2 linked regions of the Astyanax mexicanus genome follow. The protein of the gene in region 1 interacts with the protein of each later gene in a biochemical or structural test. Links are inferred from orthologs where the notes say so. Each region holds a gene or a part of one and is shown on either strand. Other genes may lie near its edges.

Evidence for each region.
Region 2: the proteins of cftr (region 1) and pdzd3a form a complex in vitro, tested with the Homo sapiens proteins (2 studies listed by BioGRID and IntAct, with this or other methods). The link is inferred for Astyanax mexicanus from reciprocal best matches to the Homo sapiens genes CFTR and NHERF4.

The regions. Positions count from the first base shown.
Region 1 is NC_064416.1:24,817,351-24,830,093, forward strand, and holds the start of cftr (cystic fibrosis transmembrane conductance regulator), read left to right. Parts: upstream 1-6,921; 5' UTR 6,922-7,535; coding exon 7,536-7,588; intron 7,589-9,438; coding exon 9,439-9,549; intron 9,550-10,316; coding exon 10,317-10,428; intron 10,429-11,388; coding exon 11,389-11,604; intron 11,605-11,756; coding exon 11,757-11,846; intron 11,847-12,743. Other genes in the region: asz1 (ankyrin repeat, SAM and basic leucine zipper domain-containing protein 1), read right to left, coding at 1-75. UniProt on the Homo sapiens protein: Epithelial ion channel that plays an important role in the regulation of epithelial ion and water transport and fluid homeostasis. Mediates the transport of chloride ions across the cell membrane.
Region 2 is NC_064425.1:972,394-985,433, forward strand, and holds the start of pdzd3a (Na(+)/H(+) exchange regulatory cofactor NHE-RF3), read left to right. Parts: upstream 1-6,342; 5' UTR 6,343-6,430; coding exon 6,431-6,446; intron 6,447-13,040.

The sequences.
Region 1 (12,743 bases):
ACTGGTATACCCTGTGTCCCATTCATCATTACTCCCATCACTCTCGTCACCCGCAGGAAAGCCGTAGTCTATCATATTGAGCGTGTTAACGCTAGATAATTAAACACGGGCCTTAATAAAGGCGCTTTCACATCGCCAGCGGTATGCCGCGCTGCTTTCCGCTCTCCTGGACGCTGACCACCACTTGTGTTTGCGTTGTGCTACTGCTGAAGACGAGCCGAACTTCGCATGTGCTGATAATAGGCGGGGTTTTAGAAAACAGGTCATGTCTGCGGCCAGTGGTTTAGTGTGTGGTGTAGCTGCAAGCAGAGTTGCCAGGTTCGCGGTTTTCCCACCAAATTGGGCTTGTTTAAAAATCCAGTCGAAGGTGAAAATTCAGAGGTGGCAGGGCGACAGGACATTTACATCCAGGTGTACTTGTGGACTTTTTGTATTTTTTGTAATTGATTACATTGCTGTATAATATATTGTTTATGATGTTATTTTGTGCCACATCAGCTGGGGTAATGGATTTATAATTTACATACTGTAGACCAGGGGTCACCAACCTTTTTGAACCTGAGAGCTACTTCTTGGGTACCAATTAATGCGAAGGGCTACCAGTTTGATACACACTCGTGAAATTACAAATTTTCTCAATTTACCTTTAATTATATGTTATTATTAATAATTAATGACATTCATCTATGTGAAGACACAGATATCAATAGGCAACACTATTATTATAAATCTCTGCAAGTGTTTACATTTTATATTATATTTTAATATAATATTACATATTATATTACATTATATTGTATAATAATATATAAACTATAGGCTATCTCTAAGCTAATATTAATGTAATATAATCTAAAATTACATCAATGCAACTGTGATTTAAAAAAAAAAAGAATAGCAACAAAAATGCTATTTTTAGACCAGGCCTGCGGGCTACTCATAAGGTCCTTGCGGGCTACCTGGTGCCCGCGGGCACCATGTTGGTGACCCCTGCTGTAGACATTACAGTACAAGCAAAACACTTCCAGTTTCCATTTACACCCTGAAGAAAAACTAGTTGTCATTTAATTCACACCCTGAACACAGCTAAACATTCATATCTAACAGTGGGCTGTAAAGACTTTGGGAACATCTGGTCATATTTATTTTCTTTTTGTTTCAGATACAGATACCTTCATCACTACACTGCCTTCTAGGTGAGAAAGAGTGAGTCAGCATTAAGAAAACATCTCACTCAAATGCCTTATCCAAATGTGCTCCAGATCACAGAGCAATGATGTAATAAACAATAATTAATTATTGCTATAAACTGCTCTAATTTAGAATATGAAATCTGCCAGATTGTATATCATTAAATAGTTCAGTATTATTATTATTATTATTATTATTATTATTATTATTATTATTATTATTATTATTATTATTATTATTATTATTATAATTTTTGCAGTATAAAGTAGTCAGGATTACCATCTCATTAACCCACAAAATTTGTGGCAGTAGTGGCTTAGTAGTCATAGTGCAGGGGGTATTAATGACAGGGCTGTAGGTTCAATACTCAGGTTTGGCAAGCTGCCACTGATAGGCCCCTTAAGTCCTGTCATATATCGCTGTGTGTATGTGTGTGTTCACTGCTGGAAAAGTGGAGGCCATGTGACATCTGCAGCCAACACAATAATGGTAAATATAGTTGTCTTGTTAAAAATATACTAGGCACTTTGTTTTGTTAATGTGTCCTTTAGATTTACATACATTTAAATTATATATATTCAAACATCCATCCTGAATAAAAAAACAGTTCTTATAACTTCAGCATGAAAGGGTGAAGCTAATCTGCAGCACAACTCATGCAAATGTGTTGGTTTCTGTGACATCTCTAAAAGAAGTAATATGACACTATTTGTTTTAGCAGATTAGTATAATAATCTATTGATTTTATGGACTTCTGCTACCGCTATGATCCAAGGATTGCCTGTTCGAATCTCAGGTAATGCTGCTTGCCATCAGCATCCAGAGTCTGAGAGAGCACAATTATCCTTGCTCTCTCTCTGGGTGGGTAGATGGCGCTCTCTCCCCACACATCACTCCCAAGGTGATATCGCCTGTTATCTGACATTTCTGAGCTGGGTCTCTGGGTTTTGCTCTGAGTGCAAGTGTTGCATTACAGGCAATAGTACTGCTAAAAAATCTTGCTCAAGACCAGCTGGCCATCCAGAAAAAAGCCAGATTTTAAGCAGTGAGGGATAAAACTAAGGACTGGGTGGGGTAATTGGACTTCCAAATGACTGCAACTGGGAACCTCTGGCTTATAGCATTCCTGGTATCTACAATCTTCCAGACTAAATTGGTTCGAAGTTGATGACTTCTGCAGAACGCATTTCCTTCTTTGAAGGTCTTACCTGCTAATTACTCAGTGCCAACAATACACTGTTAAATGAATTATGAAATTATTGCACCAGCAGTTTATGATGACATGAAGGGTGTGCTGAGGGCACGCCTGTGATGATCACACCTGGACTCATTGAAGGGTTCTGTATGTAAAAGAACCAAAATTGTTGTTCTGTACGTTTAAATAGTTGGAACTGAGTGAGAACAGTCAGTTGTTTTCATGTGACTGCTTATTTATCATCCGTAATTTCATTACAGATCTAGAGCATGTCAGCAACTGAGAGCAGGTCGAAATGATTCACTCAGACTGCTCTAAATGCCCAAACTCATGCACACAAACAGCATAAACTCCCAAACCATTTCTCTGATAATTCTAATAACGATGGCTCACATTTTTGCTATCAGAATTTTGTGCCTTTTGGCCCTCAAAGATGTAATTTTTTTATTATTATTATTAGTTTTTTTTACATATTTATAAGACTTCACACTTCACTGTTTATGGTAAACTTGTTATGTTTTGAAGATACATTTTGATTTTCTAATTACCGTGATATTTTACAACAATAGGGTGGACTGCATAAGCTCTACCTCAGCTAAATATACAGACAAAGGAAGAAATATTAAGTGAAATTAATATTATTAATTACTGAACATGCAACAAGGAAACAAAACAAGTTAATCCTAAACAGTCCGTTGCACAGTGTTTTATGAAATTTAAACAAATATGCTGCAGACATGAAAGGATTGTTATATCGATAATAACCGATACATTAATGTCAGTTCTGCATGATTGAAATATGTCATATAAACATAATGACTTGGCCTATATGTAACCACTCTAATGCACAGTTCATAATTTCGGTCTGAGGTCATGACTTCAAGTCTCCAAAATTTAAAAAGCCTAAAGTTAGACTGCTTTATTCATTACACAACCATGTCTGGTGTGTCATTGTCCTAATGGAACAGGCCTTGCTGATGGTTTGAGCTTAAGCTGAAGAAGGGAGGGGCAGTCCACCACAGAACATGATGGTTTCACCACCATGCCTAACAGTTTATATATTGTTCTTGGGGATGAATGCCTCACTCTCCAAATATAATTTTGGTCACTGTGGCCATTCCTTGTGTCATCTGACAATAAACCTTTCTGCTTGAAGTATTTTTTCTTGTCAATGTAGTTGAGCATAACATTACAGTTTTTGAAGCAGGGGCCTGAGTCTTGGATAGAAGCCTCTCAGTTTATGGTAATGTGTAAAATCTGCTTAACTGTATAGGGTGACACAGGTGTTCCAGCAGCTTCCAGTTCATGGTAGGCCTGTCCCTTGATGGTTCTTGTGTTGTTCCTGACCATCCAAACCAGTTTCCTCTCAGCTGGTGGATGCATCCTATTTAATTTTGGGGGTTTTATGCTCACAAGGACATGCTACATTTTAGTCTTTTGTTCTTGATTTAAAATGTGTGTAAGTCAATACAATAAATAGTGCATTTAGAGCTGTGTAAAATAATTACAAATGTTTAAAAAAGTCAGTGTTGGGGCAGTGTTGCATTACTTATTTAATGTGGGTTTAGTTACCCTTAGGTTTTAATAAACTGTTCCTAAGGGTGGTAAATCTTGACAAAACAGGACAAGGCATTCTGTTAATTGCAGGTAAATGATATATATTTGTCTGACTCCTGATCCTCCTGCAGTGGGTAACTGATACTTCCTCTGCTAGACGATGGCAGAAATGGTACAGTTAGGGTATGGTTTACCAGAAAAAATACTGACATTCCAAAAGTAATGGGACAGAAACTAGTATTGTGTCTAATGGAAGCTAAAGAATGGTTCACTGACCTGCAGATTATGCTTGCTTGGGGCCTCCTGTGTTGAATGGGGACATGATTTCTGACAGTTTCTTGTTTGTTTGCACAAACAATTTTGGCTTCCAGTCACGATCCTTACTACCCACAACGCCGTTCACCATGTGTGGTAATGCCTTTTGGCATGTCAGTGTAAATGTCAGCCAAACAGACATTCTTTACCAGACATTCTTCTCAGATCTGGTGTATTTTCATATGTGTTTTAATTTTTAAAAAAAGAGAACAAAAAACATTTTATAGTAATTAAAAGAAGTATATTTACATTTAGAAGTTAACATGCATTGAATTTTGTGCTGCCAATATTCACTTCTGCTTATACTGAAAAAAACAGTTCTTGCTTATACTGAAACTGTAAATACAACTGTTTCATTCCTGTTGTCTCAATCTATAGGGGGAGTCAATGATTCAGTTATTTAGGTATTGCTCACTAGTTTTGCAGTAAATCCTTTGTTCATTTGTTATTGTGCTGCGCTATGATTCATTAAAGGGAAATTCCACCAGGTTTAGTTAATTTGTTGAGGTGTGAACTTGAAAGTCATTCATAGTGGTTTAATATGAAATCCAAGGCGAAACTTATTGTTCAAATGTTGTGATTACAAATGTGGCATTAGTAGTGGGCTGTCAGTCTCACCCAGCATAACTACTGCACCAATAGCTTCAGCAATTAGTTTCCCTTTGTGTTTATCAGAACTAGTTTTGAGTAGTAAAAAATTCATATGAGCAGAATTTATCCAGAATTTCCTATCCTCTTCCTTTTCTTGTTGCTGCTTACCCTCTTTCTTATTTACCTTCAACCGTTAACTGTTTTTTCTCTTAATGTTTATGTGGTTTGATTACCTTGGCTTCCAGATCAAAGATATTGTACTATAGCTATTGTATTCAAATACAGAGTGAATTCAAAAACAGTAGTGAAATACAATAGTAATTCACAATGGCAAAGTTTAAAAGGCCCTTAGTCCTGAATAAGAAATGCTGTAGTTCATTTTGAAACTTTTGCCTTTGTCACTTGATGGGAGATATGTGAGATTACTGAGGTGTTTATCGCAGGAGTCCTGTTTGAGCAGCAGGAGAGACATGTTGCACTCTTCCTTTTCTTCCGATTGGAAACTATGTCAGGAGATATAGAGATATCCTTATTTACTTTTTATTGTTCCCACCTCTTGACAGGTGCAACTATAAGGACAGAATGTTATTAATGTTTATGTTTGATGGACAAGCTGGTCAGCTAGGTTGACCAGTGTGGTTGGGCTGGTCATGCTATTCATTCAAGTCATACTTAACTAGCTTGGCCATGCTGGTCAACTACTTTGGTTATACAATAGTTCACCAGCATTGAAAACCATTGGTCAACTAACCTGGTCATGATGGTCAACAAGCTTGATCAACCATTTTCGCCATACTGGTCAACCATCGTGGTCATGCAAGTCAACCACCGTGGCAATGCTGGTCAAGCAGTTTGGTCAACCAGGTAAGGCTAAGACTATTCAACCACCTTAGCCATTCTGGTCAAGCTGGTCAACCACACTGATCATGTTGCCAATCAGCTTATTTAGGCGGTTTGACCACCACGTTATGCTGATCAAATTTGTCAACAAGCTTTTCATTCTACTCAGCCAACCTGGTCATGCTGGTCAATGCTGATCATATTGATTATGCTAGTCAACCACATTTTTCATGCAGGTCAACCACATTGGTCATGTTGGTCCTGCTGGTCAACCAACTTGCCAGACTTATCTTCCTCCTTTGTCGAGGAAAGTTGTTAATGCTGGTCAACTATGGTGGCTTGCAAAAATATTCAGACCTCTTTAACTTTTTATCATTTTTGTCACTTTTTCACAACTGCAAACGTCACTTCTTATGTCTTTCCTTCAACAATAGTTTTCTTCTTGCCACTCTCCCGTAAAGGCCAGATTTGTGGAGTACACGACTTATAGTTGTCTTGTTGACAGATTCTCCCAGCTCAGCTGTGGATTTCTGCAGCTCCTCCAGAGTGACTACAGGTTTTTTGTCTGCTTCTCAGACCAGTGCTCTCCTTGCTTGATCTGTCAGATTGGGTGGACGACCATGTCTTGGTGGGACTGCAGTTGTAGTATACTTCTCCATTTTTAAATGATGGACAGGTGTATTTATACTGAGAAAAGATTACACACAGTTATTAAATAATTAAAGCTACGTTCACATTACAAGCTACATTGCTCAAATACGATTTTTTGCTTAGATTGGATTTGGCGGTTCATTGTAACAAATGTAATTGACCCGTATTTGTGTGTAATGTGAACGAATCTATTTCTGAAACGCCTCACATGCGCACATTAATACATGTATAAAGGTAGCCTTCTTCCCAAACAACAATAAATATCATATTTGAGAGACGACTCGTAGCTTTACTAAGGAAGTAAATGTGTTAGCAGTTTATATGTGGAGCATCTTTTGCTCAATTGGAGAGCAAACAGCTGGTTTGAAGTACATGCTCAGGTCAAGCAGGGGGAAAAAGGCCAGGCGGCTTGCTTTTGCTGTTTTTTAGCATTTCTGTCCCACTTCACAATTATGTGCTACTTTGTGTTGCTCTCTCATTTAACATCTCAGTAAAATACATTAAATACGTTGGTTTTAAGGTGACAAAATATAAAAAATAAAGGAGTATAAATACTTTTGCAAGCCACTGTAGCGTGGTCAGGTTGATCACGCTAATAGATAAACCACCAAACTCAAACGACCTGTACTGGAAAAGAGCTAAACCGGTCAGTCAGTATAAGGAAATCCATGTGTCGGTTAATGTCGGTGTTGATGATGTCTGTATGTGGGGAATGAGTGCAGGGCGCTTCCTGCACTGAGTGTGAGTTAGGTACAGTGGTGTGAATATGTGGTGACTGTGGGCTCTGAATGACCGAGTCTCGCGCAGATCTCCTCCTCCGCCTCCGCGCGCCTGTTTGTGTGTTTGGATATCGTGTCTCCTCGCCGCGCCGCACGTGAGCTGATTGTGTTTAAAAGGCAGAGCGCGCGAGAGCGGCGTGCCCACAGGGGAGCTCGCGCAGTGCAGCGCGGACAGAGTGCGGTGCTGCTCGCGCGCGGATCACGGGGGGGCTCGCGACGTCCACGCGCACACACCAAGTACACGGACAGCGCTGTGAGACGGTGTGGGGAAGGGGGGGTTTCTTAACGGGGAGAAATACGGAGAACCCCTTACCCCTTAAGTGTATGAGTGTGAGTGTGTGTGGAGGACAGCAGCCCTATTGAAGGGACAGCAGATGTGAGCGGAGAGCTGCTTCCCGCGCCCGGGCTCGGCGAGCATGAACAAGTCACCTGTGGATGAGGCCAGTTTCCTCTCCAGATACTTCTTCTGGTAAGGAGCTGCTAGAATATTCCACGCACTGAATATAAACTCATTTACAAAAGGTGAAGTGAAGACATACTGAGAGAAAGAGGCTATAGCTGCTCTCGCAGTATCATATAGGGTTTATATAGATATAAAGCTCTGGAAGAAATTAAAGAGACCACTTCAGTTTCACCTCAAAATCTCTTATTTTGCTATTCATAGGTACATGTTTGCGTAACATGAACATTGTTGTTTTATTCTATAAACTACGGACAATGTTTCCCCCAAATTCCAAATAAAACAATTGTCATTTAGAGAATTTATTTGCAGAAAATAAGAATTGGCTGAAATAAAAAAGATGCAGAGCTTTCAGACCTCAAATAATGCAAAAAGTATTTGGTGGAATAACCCTGATTTTTAATTACAATTTTTATGCATCTTGGCACGTTCTCCTCCACCACTCGTCTTACACACTGCTTTTGGATAACGTAATGCCACTCCTGGAGCAAAAAATCTAGCAGTTCAGCTTGGTTTGATGGATCGTGATCATCCATTTTCCTTTTCAATTTGCTTAAATCAAAGAAACTCACTATTTAAGCGGTCTCTTATTTTTTTCTAGAGCTGTATATATATTTATAATAAAATGACAATCAAATATATGACAAATATTTTATTTAACTAAATTTTAACTATTTTAGTAATAAATTAAGCATCAAAGTCTTCAGCCACTCACAGAAAGCAGAACAGAGCCTCAGCAACTCTCCAGACTCGCTTTTCAGCTCAATATCTTAAGATAAAAGTAGTGCTACTTCAGTCAAACAGTGTTTGCTTAAAATATACTTTTCTAAAAATACAAAATAAACGAAAATAGTAACTAATTTAGCTAGCTCACATAAATCGCTAGATAACTTAAAGCATCTTTAGCTAACCACAGATTCCACACTATGCCTCTGTTTAAAATAATAATAATAATATGTTAATTACTAAAATGTTAATTACTTAAGATGTAGCTAAAGAAAATATTTTAAGATTAGATATTCGATTGTATTATAATTTTATTATAATAAATATTGATTATATTTAATTTGATTTTTTTAAATAAAATTTGATCCCTGGCAGATTTAGATTTAAGAGTACATTTGCAGCAATATAATGAGTATAAAATAAATAATCAAACTGTGTACATTTGCTTATTACCAGTATTGGAAAAAATGCATCTAACCATTTTTAGAGTGTAAAAACCAAACAATAAATCAACAGATTGATCTATAATATAAGTAACCATTAGCTGGAAATAAACCTCACATTTGTATTTTTTTAAACTGATATTTTTTAAGATTTAGCCATAGAAAAGCATTTGTTTGAACACCCCCTATATCTACCACGTTTTAACAAATGAAGCCATGTAAGAACAAATTCATTTCAAAATTGCAGCTTTAGGAGAAGGAAAAATAAGATTTTTTAGTGGAAGACTACATGTAAATAGGTTTTGTTCCAATTCAGAAAAAATTCAGAAAATTAAAATATAAAAATGCCAGTAACACCACAAAATAAAAATAGAAATTGTGTGACAACAGTCAAATACATTGTTATGCAAGAACCTTGTATCTTGTATCTGAAAGTTATAGTTAAGATATGTTTGAGTTTTTTCTGTTTTGGAGATCAACACAACAACAACAACAATATAAGGAAAACACTGAACTGAACAGCTAATTACTGCATGTGTCTCTTAGCTACAGTGTTACTAAAAGCAGTGTTACACTTTAAACACTTTTGCAGGTTTGTAGCATCACTTTTATAGACACTTTATAGACACACTGACATCGAAACACCCAAAAACAATTTGACTGACGTTTATTTGTTCTGACCTTTTGCAGGTGGACAAACCCTATTATGCGAAAGGGTTTCAGGGAGAAACTGAGGCCAACAGATGTGTATCAAACGGCATCACAAGACACAGCTGATGTACTTGCAGAACGGCTTGAGAAGTTTGTGTCTCCTACTCATCCTTGCATGCTCATAATGAATGAGATTATAAGTTTGCTGCTGTGGAGATAAGATATTGTTTTATTGCTTGATGCCAGGCTCATAGTCTTCTATTGTTTTATTGTTTAATGTTAGTTATCCCCAATTTCCCCCAGTACTCCTTCATTCAGTGATGAACAGAGAGTGACTCTGTTAACATTAAACATGAAATTTTATTTCATAACACAACCCTATTTACAGCCACAGGATGTGTTGTCCCTGCTCCTGTTGCAGCTTCCAGAGGTTTCAAAGGTCCTGTTACTTAAGCTGGCCTAAACACCGTCACACCTTTGAGTCAGAGTGTTAGATGTTTTGTGTTGTAAGTAAATGCTGCCTTGCTCCTTCCAGTAAAAGCCCTAACATGCCATGTTTCACACCACCCACTATGCATTTTCTTGGGTTGGGGTGCCAGTGCCCCTTTAACAGGCATCAAACACGACCTTTTAAAGTGCCAGGCCCCTGGTGAGTGATGGATAGTTGGCAGTATTTTTAGTCCTCAAACATGCTGGTTTTCTGGGAATTTGAACTTTTTATACAATTAAAAGCTTGGAGCAGTTTCCCTCTCAACCTGTCAGGGTCTCTTTGGCCCATTTAATAAGTTCTCTAAATCACCCTGGTTATTCACGAGTCTCCTGAACAATGTGGGCCATGGCTTCTTTACAGTGGCTGGGAGGATGTGGAGGGGTGTTTAACTGTTTCTTTTGAACTTTCTTTTTTTCCTTATGCACAGGGAATGGGACAGAGAAGTTATCTCCGCGAAGAAGAAGCCCAGTCTCCTCCGAGCACTTTCCCGATGCTTTATTCGGCCCTTTCTGTTCTTTGGAGTTCTCCTCTATTTGGGGGTAAGTCTCTGTAGCTGTGTGTCTCTCTCTATCATTCTCAGACTCTCTGGCATTCAAAGACTTCTGCATGTGGCAACAAGGAGCTGTTTCTGCATGAACAAGCAAAATAAGCCAAATCAGTGAGAAATGTATTGCGTGTTAGCTTGTGGTCAGCTATTGCTGGCTCTCTGGTATTACAGCAATGTAGTTGGGTGGTTCTTAGAGCAGTTTGCAGTGTAGTGTGACTTTTGCTGTGTCCTCCGCTTAGAGGAATAGCTCCTTCCTTTTATGTAAACACCGAAGGAGTGACTGTCCTGTTCTTATTGTTCTTGGTAAATGCCACATTCTGTGTAAAAGTGCAGTACCAGGTTGCTGCCCACTGCTGATCACATATTAACTGTGTGTGTGTGTAGTTTGGTTAACCAGTTTAGATAGACATGCTGCTCTCCTCTATTTTATATATTTATTCAGTACACAATTAAGTACACTTTTTTATATTTTTATTTTATAGTGTATGGTAAAGTGGATTTTAAAAATCTCCCACAATGCATTTAAAATTAACAGTAAATATTTTAGCTCAGTACATGTGCTATATGTCAACTTTATGTCCAATCAACTTTATGTAAATGAGCCGAGCAGTTGATATGGGGCTTCCTTAACAAGTGTGTCATGCCCACAGTCGAGGTACAGGTTGAAGATTCAGTACTTGAACAAACATTGAGCAGGAAATGTGGTGTCCTGTAACATTACCCTAACCTTGTCAGTCAGCATGCTTGTTTCGCTTCAGACATTGTTTCTATATCCCTCAGCTTGTCAACAAATGCACATGAATTGCTGTCTAATAAGTGTGCTCTCGTAGCATGAATTGCGTGACTCTCCACTATAAATGGAGAGTGTAATTAAAAGCAAAAGCATTGTGTTAGAATCGGTTTACTACAATACAACAAAAAGCCAATTCACCTTTGCGTATTCTTTGTGCAGGAAGCCACAAAATCTGTACAGCCTCAGCTCCTGGGACGAATAATTGCTTCATTCGACCCCTTCCACGAGCCAGAACGAGAGCAGGGCTACTTCCTGGCCTTCGGCCTGGGCCTTCTCTTTATTGCTCGCTTCCTACTACTGCAGCCAGCCATGTTTGGGCTGCACCACGTGGGCATGCAGATCCGCATCGCCCTCTTTAGCTTAATCTACAAAAAGGTGAGCTGCCAGCTATTCTTGTCCTCTCTTGTCCTAATTTCTTTGTAGTGAGTAAGGATGAGTTGCAAAATTTATTGCTGAGTGTTGTCAGATGTAGATTTCCATTTGTGTTTATCTTTGTCAATTAAGATTTTTCTTCCTCTTTACCCCAGACGCTGAAGCTGTCCAGTCGAGTTTTGGACAAGATCAGCACAGGACAGCTAGTCAGCTTGATGTCAGCTAACCTGGGCAAGTTTGATCAGGCAAGTACCAGCTGGCCACCTGTTCATAACACTGACATAAACACACCAACTTTTTTAATAATTAACAGCAATGTACAATAGTAAAAAACAAACACATCTCTCACTCTAAAAGTGTTTTCTGAACCTACGAATCCATATCTGATATTGAAATAGCAAGAGTGTATTACTCTCTGAGTAATGCAGCAGAGAAGAAAAAGCTTGAACTTTAGAACTCTTGAGAAAGGTCGAACCAGGGTGATGAATGTTGATACACTTTGCAAATGCTCTGAAGCAATTATCACCTGTATCAAATGTGGCAAGTGTAAAGCACTTTTTGTCTCAGAGAACATACATTGGTTCTCCCTTTTTGTGTGTGTGTTCTTAGCGGGGGCCAATAGTCACACCATTCTCCTTGTGAGGTTGAGAATGTGATCTGAGGGCTACTGTTTGTAGGGTAATGTATCCCCCTTGCTGAGTGATCACTCACACCAGCCCTCAGTGTTTTGTGTGTGACTGTGTTTGTGTGCAAGAATCTTGCATTTTTCAACCTGGATGAACTGAAGTATGGCAGTTTCCCTTTTACACAGCATGCTCTCAACCGGAAACGACTGTCCATCTGGAAGACTGCATCGGGCATTGAGGAGCTGACCCAGCACAGAGTGCTAATCCATATCTGGGCATACAGTCATACACACATTCTTGCATACTTACACCTACATACACTAAAACACTCACAACACCAGGGCAAATGTAGAGTTTCCAATTTTTCTGGGCATTTTAGAGTGGCCAGTTTACCTGTTCTCCATGTTTTTTGAACTGTGGGAGGAAAGTGAAGCCCTCGGAGGAAACCCAAGCAGACACAAAGAGAACATGGAAACTCCACCCAGATGACTTGAACCCAAGACCCAGTGCTGGAAG
Region 2 (13,040 bases), on another chromosome or scaffold:
TGGATAAGGGATCTAAGCTATACATGCCACACTCTAAACAGGTGTAAACCTGAGCAGAAGCCATGGAGAAAAAAAGCACTCACCTTGTTTCAGTTGAAATTAGAAACTTACACAAACAAACTGCAGCAGCAAACAGCTAATCCAGCAAACCTGAGGAAAAAGTCTATAAAAGTAGACTGAGAGTGGATTAATAGGTGTGTAGAGCAAAGAGGAAGCAGACTAAAAGTGGATTAGTAAGTGTGAAGAGAGTAAAAGAGAAGAAAACAGAGAAAAGTGTAGAAGCTGAAGATTAAAGCAAGCTTTCAGCAGCAGAGCAGCACAGCAGCAAACCAGCACAGCAGCAGACCAGAGTAGTAGAGAGCAGAGCAGGGAGCAGAGCAGGGAGCAGAGCAGGGAGCAGAGCAGGGAGCAGAGCAGGGAGCAGAGCAGTGCAAAATATGGTAGAACTATAAAAAGTGTTCTAGGCATCAGCAAGTCTGAGAGTGTGTCCATAGCTGGGGGTGTGTCCATGGTGTGGCCAGAGTGGCCGGAATGAAAAAGTTTCACAGAGTCTTTAGTTTGCTGTGCTGAGAGGAGTTGAACAGTCTTATGGCCTGAGGAACAAAAGACTTTCGGAGTCTGTCTGTGGAGCAGGACTGGGACAGCAGTCTGCCGCTGAATGAGCTCCTCTGCCTGGTGATGGTGCTGTGCAGAGGGTGGTGAACATTGTCCATGATGTTCAGCAGCTTACTGAGGGCTCTCCTCTCTGCCAGTGGTGTTAAGGACTCCAGCTCTAGTCCCAACACAGAACCAGCTTTCCTCACCAGCCTGTCCAGTCGTCCAGCATCCCTCTTGCTGATGCTGCCTCCCCAACACACAACAGTGTAAAAGAGGACGCTGGCTACCACAGACTGGTAGAACATCAGGAGGAGTTTCTGGCAGATGTTGAAAGCCCTGAGCCTTCTGAGGAAGTACAGTCTGCTCTGAGCCTTCCTGTAGAGGGAGTCAGTGTTCACTGACCAGTCCAGCCTGTCGTCCAGGTGCACACCAAGGTATTTGTAGGATTTGACCACCTCCACGTCGACCCCCTCGATGGAGATTGGCTGCTGAGCAGAGGGCCTGGACCTCCTGAAGTCTATGCACATCTCCTTGGTTTTGGAGATGTTCAGCTGCAGATGGTTCATCTTGCACCAAACCACAAATTCCTCAACCAGGCTTCTGTACTCCCTCTCATCATCATTACGCACACACCCCACGATTGCAGTGTCGTCAGAGAACTTCTGCATGTGGCATGACTCCGAGTGGTATTTGAAGTCTGATGTGTACAGTGTGAACAGGACTGGAGAGAGAACAGTCCCCTGTGGTGCTCCTGTGCTGCTGATCACTGTGTCAGAGGAGCAGTCCCTGATCCTGACATGTTGTGGTCTCCCAGTAAGGTAGTCAGTGATCCAGGTGACCAGGTGCATATCCACCTCCATCTCCATCAGCTTGTCTCTCAGTAGTAGGGGCTGGATGGTGTTGAAGGCACTGGAGAAGTCGAAGAACATGACCCTCACAGCACCTCCCCCCCTTGTCCAGATGAGAGTGAGCTCTGTGCAGGAGATAGAGAATGGCATCTTCCACTCCCACCTTTTCCCGGTACGCAAACTGCAGTGGGTCCTCAGCATGGTGGACCTGAGGTCTGAGTTGGTCCAGCAGCAGTCGCTCCATGGTCTTCATCACATGAGATGTCAAAGCAACAGGCCTGTAGTCATTCAGCTCCTTCGGGTGTGCTTTCTTAGGAACTGGAACGAGGCAGGTTGTCTTCCACGTGGCAGGAACTCTCCCTATACGCAGACTCAGGTTAAAAACATGTTGGAAGGGCTCACCCAGTTGAACAGCACAAGCCTTGAGCATTCTGGGGCACACTCTGTCCGGGCCAGCTGCCTTCCTGGGGTGAAGTCTCCTCAGCTGTCTCCTGACCTGGTCAGCAGTAAAGGTTGGTGGACTGGAGGAGATGATTTGTCTGCCAGTTGATAGTGTTGATGGTGGTGATGATGAAGATGCAGCTATAATATGCAGCTATGATTTCTCAAATTAAGCTTTAAGTGAAGTGAATTTTCATATGCTTTTTAAACGTGAAGTAAATTTTATTATGCCACACTATAAAGTCTTGACAGTAATGACTGTATATAAGGCTTTATAATGTGTTACACACGCATATAAAAGCTTAATTTGAGAAATCATAGCTGCATATTATAATGCATTATATCAAAATATACCAAATCTGTGTTAAAGTGCATTACAACACTACATTTTTATGAACATATATTATAAAGCATTATAAGCCCTTTCTTTATAAACCCTTATACTTGTAGTTTATAATGTGTTATGAATGCCGCTGTAAGTACTTTATACAGGCTTTTTACAGTCATTATAAGGTATTATGCATGTCATTTAATGCTTTATAAATGCATTTATAATACATAATGAATACAGGGTTCATAGGAAGTGTTACCAAGACTTTCTTTTAATGTCAAACAAATGCTGGATGTAAATCTACACAGATTTGGGTGAATAAAGTGCTTTCGTTTATTTACAGTAAGCTTAGATTCCCGAATTTCTTTATTAGCATTAGGGGCTAAGCGCTCCAACCGTGCTAGCCGCGGTTAGTGGCAGGCTACTGGCCGATAATACTCACCTCTGAACAGCAAAAGAGCTAGCACTTAGCACAGTTAGCAGGCAATGCTAATGCTGCTCCAGCAGTGCTAGCCGGGGTTAATGAGAAAATAGCGGTTAGTGGCTAATTCTAATGCTACTTCTACCCACTGGTGCTGGAGAACTAAACTGAATCTCCTGTATAACTCTGTACTTCAGTGGAGTGGCTTTACTGCTCCTTAATACCTGACTGATAGAATTCATACATAAGGAGCACCGGATTATAAGGCAGACTGTCGATTTTCGGGAAAAAGAAAGGATTTTAAGTGCAGCTTATAGTGCGGAAAATAGGGTATAAGGGAAAGGACTATGCTGTTGAAATCAGGTCTTCCTTTATGGTAATAGTTTGCATTTATTCATGTTGGAGAGATAATAGGCTTTATTCGTGTGATGCTGTATTTCATAGACACCTTAAAAAACTAATTTGGAGGCAATGGCTTTCTGTGAAATGCCATAAATAGTGGCTAGTTAACTAGCTCACTAGCTAGAGTTGTGATAAAGCTGTGTGTGTATCACAATCAAAAAGCAACCATTGGCCTTGATACTATTAATGTATCAACAGCTCACTGCTCTATATGAACATTTTGCTGTGTTACGACGATTAGCCATTAGCAAAAACGACTGAAATTTAATTCCTGTCTGAGCATCGTGTCTAAGTAAGCAGCATTTCTTACGCTTCAGAGACAAACAGTATTTCATTTTACAATTGATTGGTGGCTTAAACTTGTTTTATGCCAAAATAACAGAAATGATTTCTGAAAAGGAGTTCCTATTGTTTTTTATTTAATAATAATGGAGAAAACTACATAAATATTGTAGCATATTGTAGTTCAGATGACAAGAACAGTGTTTTTAAAACATCACATCACAGACTGACACTTTCAACCAAGTAACCAAGTCAAGTAGTATTCAACATGCACAATATGGACAAAAGGATTGAAGAATCTGCTTATTAATAGTTTTTCAGGGTATTAAAAAGAGTAAATCCTGCTTTTGTTGGAGTAACTGTCTCTACAGTCCAGGGAGAGAAGGTTTTCTACTTGATCCTGTAGCATTAGTCAACTGTCAGTGGTTACCAATCAATCAGTAAATCAATATACCATATTTTTCGCTCTATAATTCGCACCAGATTTATAAGGGGTCTTTTATGCGACCCTAGTAAGGAACAGGGGTGTCGCCATGTTTCTTTTCTAACTCAGCAGGTCTTGCCGCTGGGTGGCGACCTGTAAAGCTAAACTAAGTAAACAAAACTGTAATTCTTATGTTCTGGATGTTAATCTACAAAGATTTCTCTCCTGAAAAATGTTTATTTGGGTGAGAGAAGCTCTTTCGTTTATTTACAGCAAACTTAGGTTTCCAGATTTCCACTGAAGCTGGAGCATTAGCATTAGCTTTAGCAGCTAACAACTAGAGGGTAATGCTAATGCTGCTCCAGCAGTGCTAGTCAGGGTTAGCAGCAGGCTACTGGTCAATAATACTCACCTCTGAATGGTGAAAGAGCTAGCACTTAGCACGGTTAGCGGCTAATGCTAATACTGCTGGAGAACTAAACTGAAACTCCTGTATCCTTAATACCTGACTGGTAGAATTCATACATAAGAAGCACCAGATTATAAAACACACTGACAATTTTTGGGAAAATTAAAGGATTTTAGTTGCATCTTATAGTGTAAAAAATATGGTAGACCTTCAAACTTCTTGTGGCCTTAAGATCAGCTCGAGAAGAGCGTAAAGAGCTTCATGGAATTGAGAGTTTCTACAGTCAAGCAGCTCCATCCAAACCTTAAATCACCAAACACAGTAATGCAGGTGAGCGGATACCTTTTGCAATGTAGTGTATCATCAGTTTAGACGCTTGTTTTTTCACCTGTAAAGTTACAATCTTGGGTATGCAGGGTATCTGTGTGATATTGATGATGTGCTTCCTAATACACCACACTAGCCATACTGACCAGAGCATGTTTTAGCTTTGTATTCAGTTGAGATAATGTTACTGTTACAGTTATGAATTATTTAATAATTCATAACATAAAATTATCTTATCTAATAATCCTCAAATGGTACTACTAACCTGCAAGGTGTATTTTATGAGTTTGGAATTGTGTCCGATCCTAAATCCTGTGCCTTTAACTACGGTTGAAAAAAGAGCATTATTATTTTTTTTAAATATGGATTAAAGCAAATAAATCTAAAATGAATAAATTAAACAAAACTGATTAAATGAGTAAATGTTTGTCTGAGTCTTTTATTTCATGCAAAACAATGCTTTTTATTTTACTATGTTGAACTTCTACTTACCCAGGTACTTAAAAGGATTTTACAGTGTTGGGATAACAGTATGTAAACTGATCATGAAGTGTTACCACAAAGGACAGCTTGGGAATGCCAACAGAAGTATAAGTGTTGAGGTGTTATCTTGTGATTGAGGTAAAAGTAGTAGCGAGGCAATGTAAATAATCTCAGAGCTGATTTAATATTCCTCAATCCACAGTATTCCAGGTGAGTAAATGGTAATGATCATGACTGGTGGCATCTGGCCTGAATTGTTCATGCAAACATACAAAAGACTCCACAAGTCATTGGTGAAAGTCACGGGACATGATTCTACTTCCTGTCTCATGACATTCGCCATTTCAGCCTACTAGTGCATCTCAAAAAATTAGAATATCATTGAAAAACTACTTTATTTCAATAATTAAAATGTGAAATATATTCATATATATCAATATATCATATATTATATAGATGCATTATACAAAGAATGATCTATTTTAAGTGTTTATTTCTTTTATTGTTGATGATTATGGCTTACAGCCAATGCAGATTTCATTTTCAAGCAGGACTTGGCACATTGGAATATAATCAAGAGGAAGATGGATGATGACAAGCCATCAAACCACCAAACTGAACTGCTTGAATTTTTGCACCAGGAGTAAAGCAGCATAAAGTTATCCAAAAGCAGTGTGTAAGACTGGTGGAGGAGAACATGATGCCAAGATGCATGATTAAAAACTGTGATTAAAAATCAGGATTATTCCACCAAATGTTAATTTCTAAACTCTTAAAACAGTCATTTCTCATTTTCTGTAAATAAATGCTCTAAATGAGAATATTTTTATTTGGAATTTGGGAGAAATGTTGTCTGTAGTTTATAGAATAAAACAACAATGTTCATTTTACTCAAACATAAACCTATAAAGAGCAAAATCAGAGAAACTGTAGTGGTCCCTTAATTTTTTCCAGAGCTGTATATAATATACGAGTTTCACATTTTAAACTAAATTACTGAAATAAAGTAACATTTTAATAATACTCTTAATTTTTTGAGATTCACTAGTATATAACACTACAAACACTGGGGATTGTTGTTGTGTCAGCTAATCTTAATCAATTCTGGTACTGATAAATTTTTCTTGGTTATGTATTATTTATTAGCTTGGCTAATAAATGGTCAGTCATGTGGTAGGAGGGTTAAATCAGTGTGCTTTTATTTTCTCCAGAATGTCTCTTTAAGTGATAAATATGTTCTGTTTGGTTCTTGAGGTTTGACCCTCTGTTAGATGATGTTATGTAATATAAGCTGGGTCTGTTGTTTGGGCTATAGTCTCATAAACCTTAGCTTACACATTAAACTCAGTGTGGAGCAGAAAGGAGGAGTCCAGAGGACTGAACTGTTCGGTGGTTCAGTTTGCACCTTGAACCTCCTCGCTGTCTCCTGCCCATTACACCCACCAGGATCCAGACAAGCAGCACCATGAGATACACCACAGGTAACCTGAGCTCTTACCTACCTACAGCCAGTCTGATCTGGATCATTTCTATCATCAATACAAGACCAGTGTTTAAAATCACTGCAAATAAAATGAAGAGAGCACTTCAGTTTCTGAATCAGTTTCTCTGATTTTGCTATTTATAGGTTTATGTTTGAGTAAAATGAACATTGTTGTTTTATTCTATAAACTACAGACAACATTTCTCCCAAATTACAAATAAAAATATTCTCATTTAGAGCATTTATTTACAGAAAATGAGAAATGACTGAAATAACAAAAAAGATGCAGAGCTTTCAGACCTCAAATAATGCAAAGAAAACAAGTTCATATTCATAAAGTTTTAAGAGTTCAGAAATAATCAATATTTGGTGGAATAGACTCTTGGCATGTTCTCCTCCTCCACCAGTCTTACACACTGCTTTTGGATAACTTTATGCTGCTTTACTCCTGGTGCAAAAATTCAAGCAGTTCAGTTTGGTGGTTTGATGGTTTGTGATCATCCATCTTCCTCTTGATTATATTCCAGAGGTTTTAATTTGGTAAAATCAAAGAAACTCATCATTTATAAGCGCTGTAGATTTCGTTATTGTATGCTTATCTGTATTATGGTAATGAGATGATCAGAAATACACATTGAGTAATGCCATAAAAGAATATATTTTGATTTCCTGAAGAACCATGTTTCTAATAAAGTTATTTTTTTTAGATTATCTAGAGCTTTAAAAATAGTACTAGCTCATATTTTTGTGTTAGAAGTAAACTGTAGGTTTTATATTTAGTTTGGCATAATTAAAAAAACTTATATAACTTTATAAAACATATAAAATTCCGTCTATCAAGGAAAATTGTGATATGATATTGCACAGTGTTTGTTAATGGCTTGTGGTCATCAATCTTCCTCTTGATTATATTCCAGAGATTTTCAATTTGATAATTCTTATTTTTTATTTTCCAGAGCTGTATATTTTTATTGTATGCTTATCTGTATTATGGTAATGAGATGATTAGAAATATACATTGAGTAAATACACATTGATTTCCTAAAGAATAATGTTTCTAATAAAGTTATTTTTAAATTATTTAGAGCTTTAAAAATTGTATCAGCTTTTTGTTCTTCAGTTTGGTACTGTATATCTTTAAAAACTTATATAAAATATATAAAATTCAGTCCATCAAGGAAATTTGTGATATGATATTGCACAGTATTTGTGTTTAGGCTGAGCTAATGTTAACGTGTGGATTCTGTTTACTCTAAACTGAGTGTTCACACATGATCTCAGGATAACAGAGATATATATTTTATTTTCACATTTCTGCCATTTAATAAAAATGTGTACTTTAAAATACTTTGTAATGCTAATCTGCATTATGATTATCAAATGATTTAGTATTTTTTTTCCAATGTTTTTTTCTGATATTATCATTTAGTCACTATTTGCTGTGTCCTTTTATACACCAAATACAATCAGATACAATCTCAAAAATGATGAGAACTAAACTATACTATAAAACAATCATATATATTTTTGTTTTTCCATTGAACCGTGATTTTGATAGAGATTATGAAGAAATATTTACATCAAATAAAGGTTCTTTATTTAAAGGACCTTTTAAAAGCTTATTTAATTTTAATAACATGTTTATTACATTTATAAAGAATTAAAAGCTGTTCGTATGTGGCATTACTCAAAGAAGCATTTAATGCACATTGTGTAAAGAGTGTAAAGGAGAGTTTTCTTAAAGTAAATGAGTAAATGGGTCATGGAAATTTACCATGGTTACGGGTAACCTTAAAATATTGTTAATTTTTAAACCAGGCAAAAATAGAAAAGAATGAATTAAGTGCTGAAGACCTGTTTATTAGTTTGTGTGTCCAGTATAAATTTTCCTTACACCTGAGTATAACAACAGAGTATAATAACAGAGTATATTAACAGAGTATATTAACAGAGTATAATAACAGAGTAATAACAGAGTATAATAACAGAGTATATTAACAGAGTATATTAACAGAGTATAATAACAGAGTAATAACAGAGTATAATAACAGAGTATAATAACAGAGTAATAACAGAGTATAATAACAGAGTATATTAACAGAGTATATTAACAGAGTATAATAACAGAGTATAATAACAGAGTATATTAACAGAGTATATTAACAGAGTATAATAACAGAGTATAAAAGCAGAGTATAATAACAGAGTATATTAACAGAGTATATTAACAGAGTATAATAACAGAGTATAATAACAGAGTATAATAACAGAGTATATTAACAGAGTATAATAACAGAGTAATAACAGAGTATAATAACAGAGTATATTAACAGAGTATATTAACAGAGTATATTAACAGAGTATAATAACAGAGTATAATAACAGAGTATAATAACAGAGTATAATAACAGAGTATAATAACAGAGTATATTAACAGAGTATATTAACAGAGTATAATAACAGAGTATAATAACAGAGTATATTAACAGAGTATATTAATAATAATAATAATATAATAATACTTTATTTTTATATAGCGCTTTTCTAAAACCCAAAGACGCTTACAGTCATCATTTGTGAAAACAAATAGAAACATTACACAACAAGTGGTGACAGACAATCAACATAGTACGAGAACAGACAGCAGGGATAAGTGGTATAGTACATTAAACAGAGGGAAGGCCGTAGGCAAGAGAAAAGAGGTGAGTCTTGAGTGTAGATTTGAACAAGGAAAGAGAGGAGGATTGTTTGACCACAGATGGGAGAGAATTCCATAGTTGAGGAGCAAGTCTGGAAAAAGCCCGATCACCAAAGCCACGGAGTTTAGAGGCTGGGACTTTAAGAAGTCCAGCAGTAGCAGACCTAAGGGATCGAGATGGTCTGTAAGGAAGAAGGAGGTTTGACAGATAAGGAGGTGCAAGATTATTTAATGCCTTATAGGTAAGTAAGAGAATCTTGAATTGAATCCTGTATTTAACAGGGAGCCAGTGAAGATTTTGGAGAACAGGTGTAATGTGTTCATGGGTGCGAGTGTGAGTGAGTAAACGGGCAGCTGCGTTTTGTACCATCTGGAGTTTATGGATAGAGGAAGAACTAATGCCAGCAAGCAAGGAGTTACAGTAATCTAGTCTGCTGGAAATAAAAGCATGAAGGAGTATTTCAGCAGTGGACTGAGTAAGGGATCGTCGAATTTTAGCTATTCTGCGCAGATGAAAGAATGCAGTTTTCACCACAGAGTTGATGTGAGCTGTAAAAGAGAGAGTGGAATCTAGAAGAACGCCCAAATTTCGGACTTGGGTAGAGGGAGAGATTACTGTACCGCCAAAGTTGAGAGAGAGAGTAGGAGTTTGATTGAGGACTGCTTTAGTGCTGATTAGGATGAGCTCGGTCTTATTACTGTTTAGCATGAGAAAATTGTCCTTCATCCAGTTCTGGATCGCAGAGAGACAGCTTTCTAAATGAGTAGTGGGTGGGTTATTGATAGAACTAGTGCTAAGATAAATTTGGGTGTCGTCCGCATAACAGTGGAAGTCTAGGTTAAAGTGACGCAACAGAGGCCCAAGAGGAAGGATATAGATGATGAACAGGAGAGGTCCAAGGACTGATCCTTGTGGTACTCCGTGTTTAATCACAGAGGTATGGGAGGAATAGCCAGCCAATGAAATAAATTGTTTTCTGTCAGTTAGGTAAGATGAGAACCAGTCCAGGGCAGTGCCAACGATGCCAAGTTCACAGAGTCGAGATAGAAGGATAGAGTGGTTAATTGTGTCAAATGCAGCACTTAAATCTAGAAGCAAAAGAATGTTTAGAGCACCAGCATCAGCAGCTACCAGTAAATCGTTAATAACCTTGACCAATGCCGTTTCAGTACTGTGGAAGGGTCGGAAACCAGATTGAAAGGGTTCAAATAGGTTTTGTGATTCAAGATAATGTTGCAATTGGCAGGCCACAGTTCTTTCAAGGACTTTAGACAGGAAGGGGAGATTGGAAATAGGGCGATAGTTGTTGAGGTCAGAAGGGTCGAGACCAGGTTTCTTTAGTATAGGAGTGACTGCAGCCGTTTTGTAAACAGATGGAACCTGACCAAGGAGAAGTGATTGATTGATGAGAACAGTGAGGTGGGGGAGCAAGGCAGGTACGCAGGCTTTAGTTAAGTTGGTGGGGAGTGGATCTAGAGCACAGGTTGTGGTCTTAGAAGACATTACAATATTAGCGATAAAGGAAGAGTCAATACTGTTAAAGGCAGCAAGAGAGGCGGAAGAAATGTTAAAATGAGAGAGGTTGGTAGTATGAGAGGAGTGAGAGGGGGGTCCAGAAGAAGCAGAGATCAGGGATCTATGAATATTTGCTATTTTGGAGTCGAAGAAGTGTAGGAAAGTGTTACAAAGGGCTGGAGAGGGTACAAGAGTGCTGTCTGGACTTTTAAATAGCTTATCAACTGTTGAGAAGAGGTGCCGAGAGTTTGTTCTATGCTGACTGTTAATGAGGTCAGAAAAGTAGGTTGTCTTAGCAGCACTAACAGCATCTCTATATGCAGACAGATGTTGCTTATATGCATTCGCATGAACAGTAAGTTTTGTTTTTTAACAGAGTATAATAACAGCGTATATTAACAGAGTATATTAACAGAGTATAATAACAGAGTATATTAACAGAGTATATTAACAGAGTATAATAACAGAGTATAATAACAGAGTATATTAACAGAGTATAATAACAGAGTATAATAACAGAGTATATTAACAGAGTATATTAACAGAGTATATTAACAGAGTATAATAACAGAGTATATTAACAGAGTATATTAACAGAGTATATTAACAGAGTATATTAACAGAGTATAATAACAGAGTATATTAACAGAGTATATTAACAGAGTATAATAACAGAGTATATTAACAGAGTATAATAACAGAGTATAATAACAGAGTATATTAACAGAGTATATTAACAGAGTATATTAACAGAGTATAATAACAGAGTATAATAACAGAGTATATTAACAGAGTATATTAACAGAGTATATTAACAGAGTATAATAACAGAGTATAATAACAGAGTATAATAACAGAGTATAATAACAGAGTATAATAACAGAGTATATTAACAGAGTATAATAACAGAGTATATTAACAGAGTATATTAACAGAGTATAATAACAGAGTATAATAACAGAGTATATTAACAGAGTATATTAACAGAGTATAATAACAGAGTATAATAACAGAGTATATTAACAGAGTATATTAACAGAGTATATTAACAGAGTATAATAACAGAGTATATTAACAGAGTATATTAACAGAGTATAATAACAGAGTATAATAACAGAGTATATTAACAGAGTATATTAACAGAGTATATTAACAGAGTATAATAACAGAGTATAATAACAGAGTATAATAACAGAGTATAATAACAGAGTATATTAACAGAGTATATTAACAGAGTATAATAACAGAGTATAATAACAGAGTATATTAACAGAGTATATTAACAGAGTATATTAACAGAGTATAATAACAGAGTATATTAACAGAGTATATTAACAGAGTATAATAACAGAGTATAATAACAGAGTATATTAACAGAGTATAATAACAGAGTATAATAACAGAGTATATTAACAGAGTATAATAACAGAGTATATTAACAGAGTATAATAACAGAGTATATTAACAGAGTATATTAACAGAGTATATTAACAGAGTATATTAACAGAGTATAATAACAGAGTATAATAACAGAGTATATTAACAGAGTATATTAACAGAGTATATTAACAGAGTATATTACCAGAGTATAATAACAGAGTATATTAACAGAGTATAATAACAGAGTATAATAACAGAGTATATTAACAGAGTATAATAACAGAGTATAATAACAGAGTATATTAACAGAGTATATTAACAGAGTATAATAACAGAGTATAATAACAGAGTATAATAACAGAGTATAATAACAGAGTATAATAACAGAGTATAATAACAGAGTATATTAACAGAGTATATTAACAGAGTATAATAACAGAGTATAATAACAGAGTATAATAACAGAGTATATTAACAGAGTATAATAACAGAGTATAATAACAGAGTATATTAACAGAGTATAATAACAGAGTATATTAACAGAGTATATTAACAGAGTAATAACAGAGTATAATAACAGAGTATAATAACAATGTATATTAACAGAGTATATTAACAGAGTATATTAACAGAGTATAATAACAGAGTATATTAACAGAGTATATTAACAGAGTATAATAAGAGTATAATAAGAGTATAATAACAGAGTATAATAACAGAGTATAATAACAGAGTATAATAACAGAGTATATTAACAGAGTATAATAACAGAGTATATTAACAGAGTATAATAACAGAGTATAATAACAGAGTATAATAACAGAGTATATTAACAGAGTATAATAACAGAGTATAATAACAGAGTATAATAACAGAGTATATTAACAGAGTATAATAACAGAGTATAATAACAGTATATTAACAGAGTATATTAACAGAGTATAATAACAGAGTATATTAACAGAGTATAATAACAGAGTATAATAACAGAGTATAAT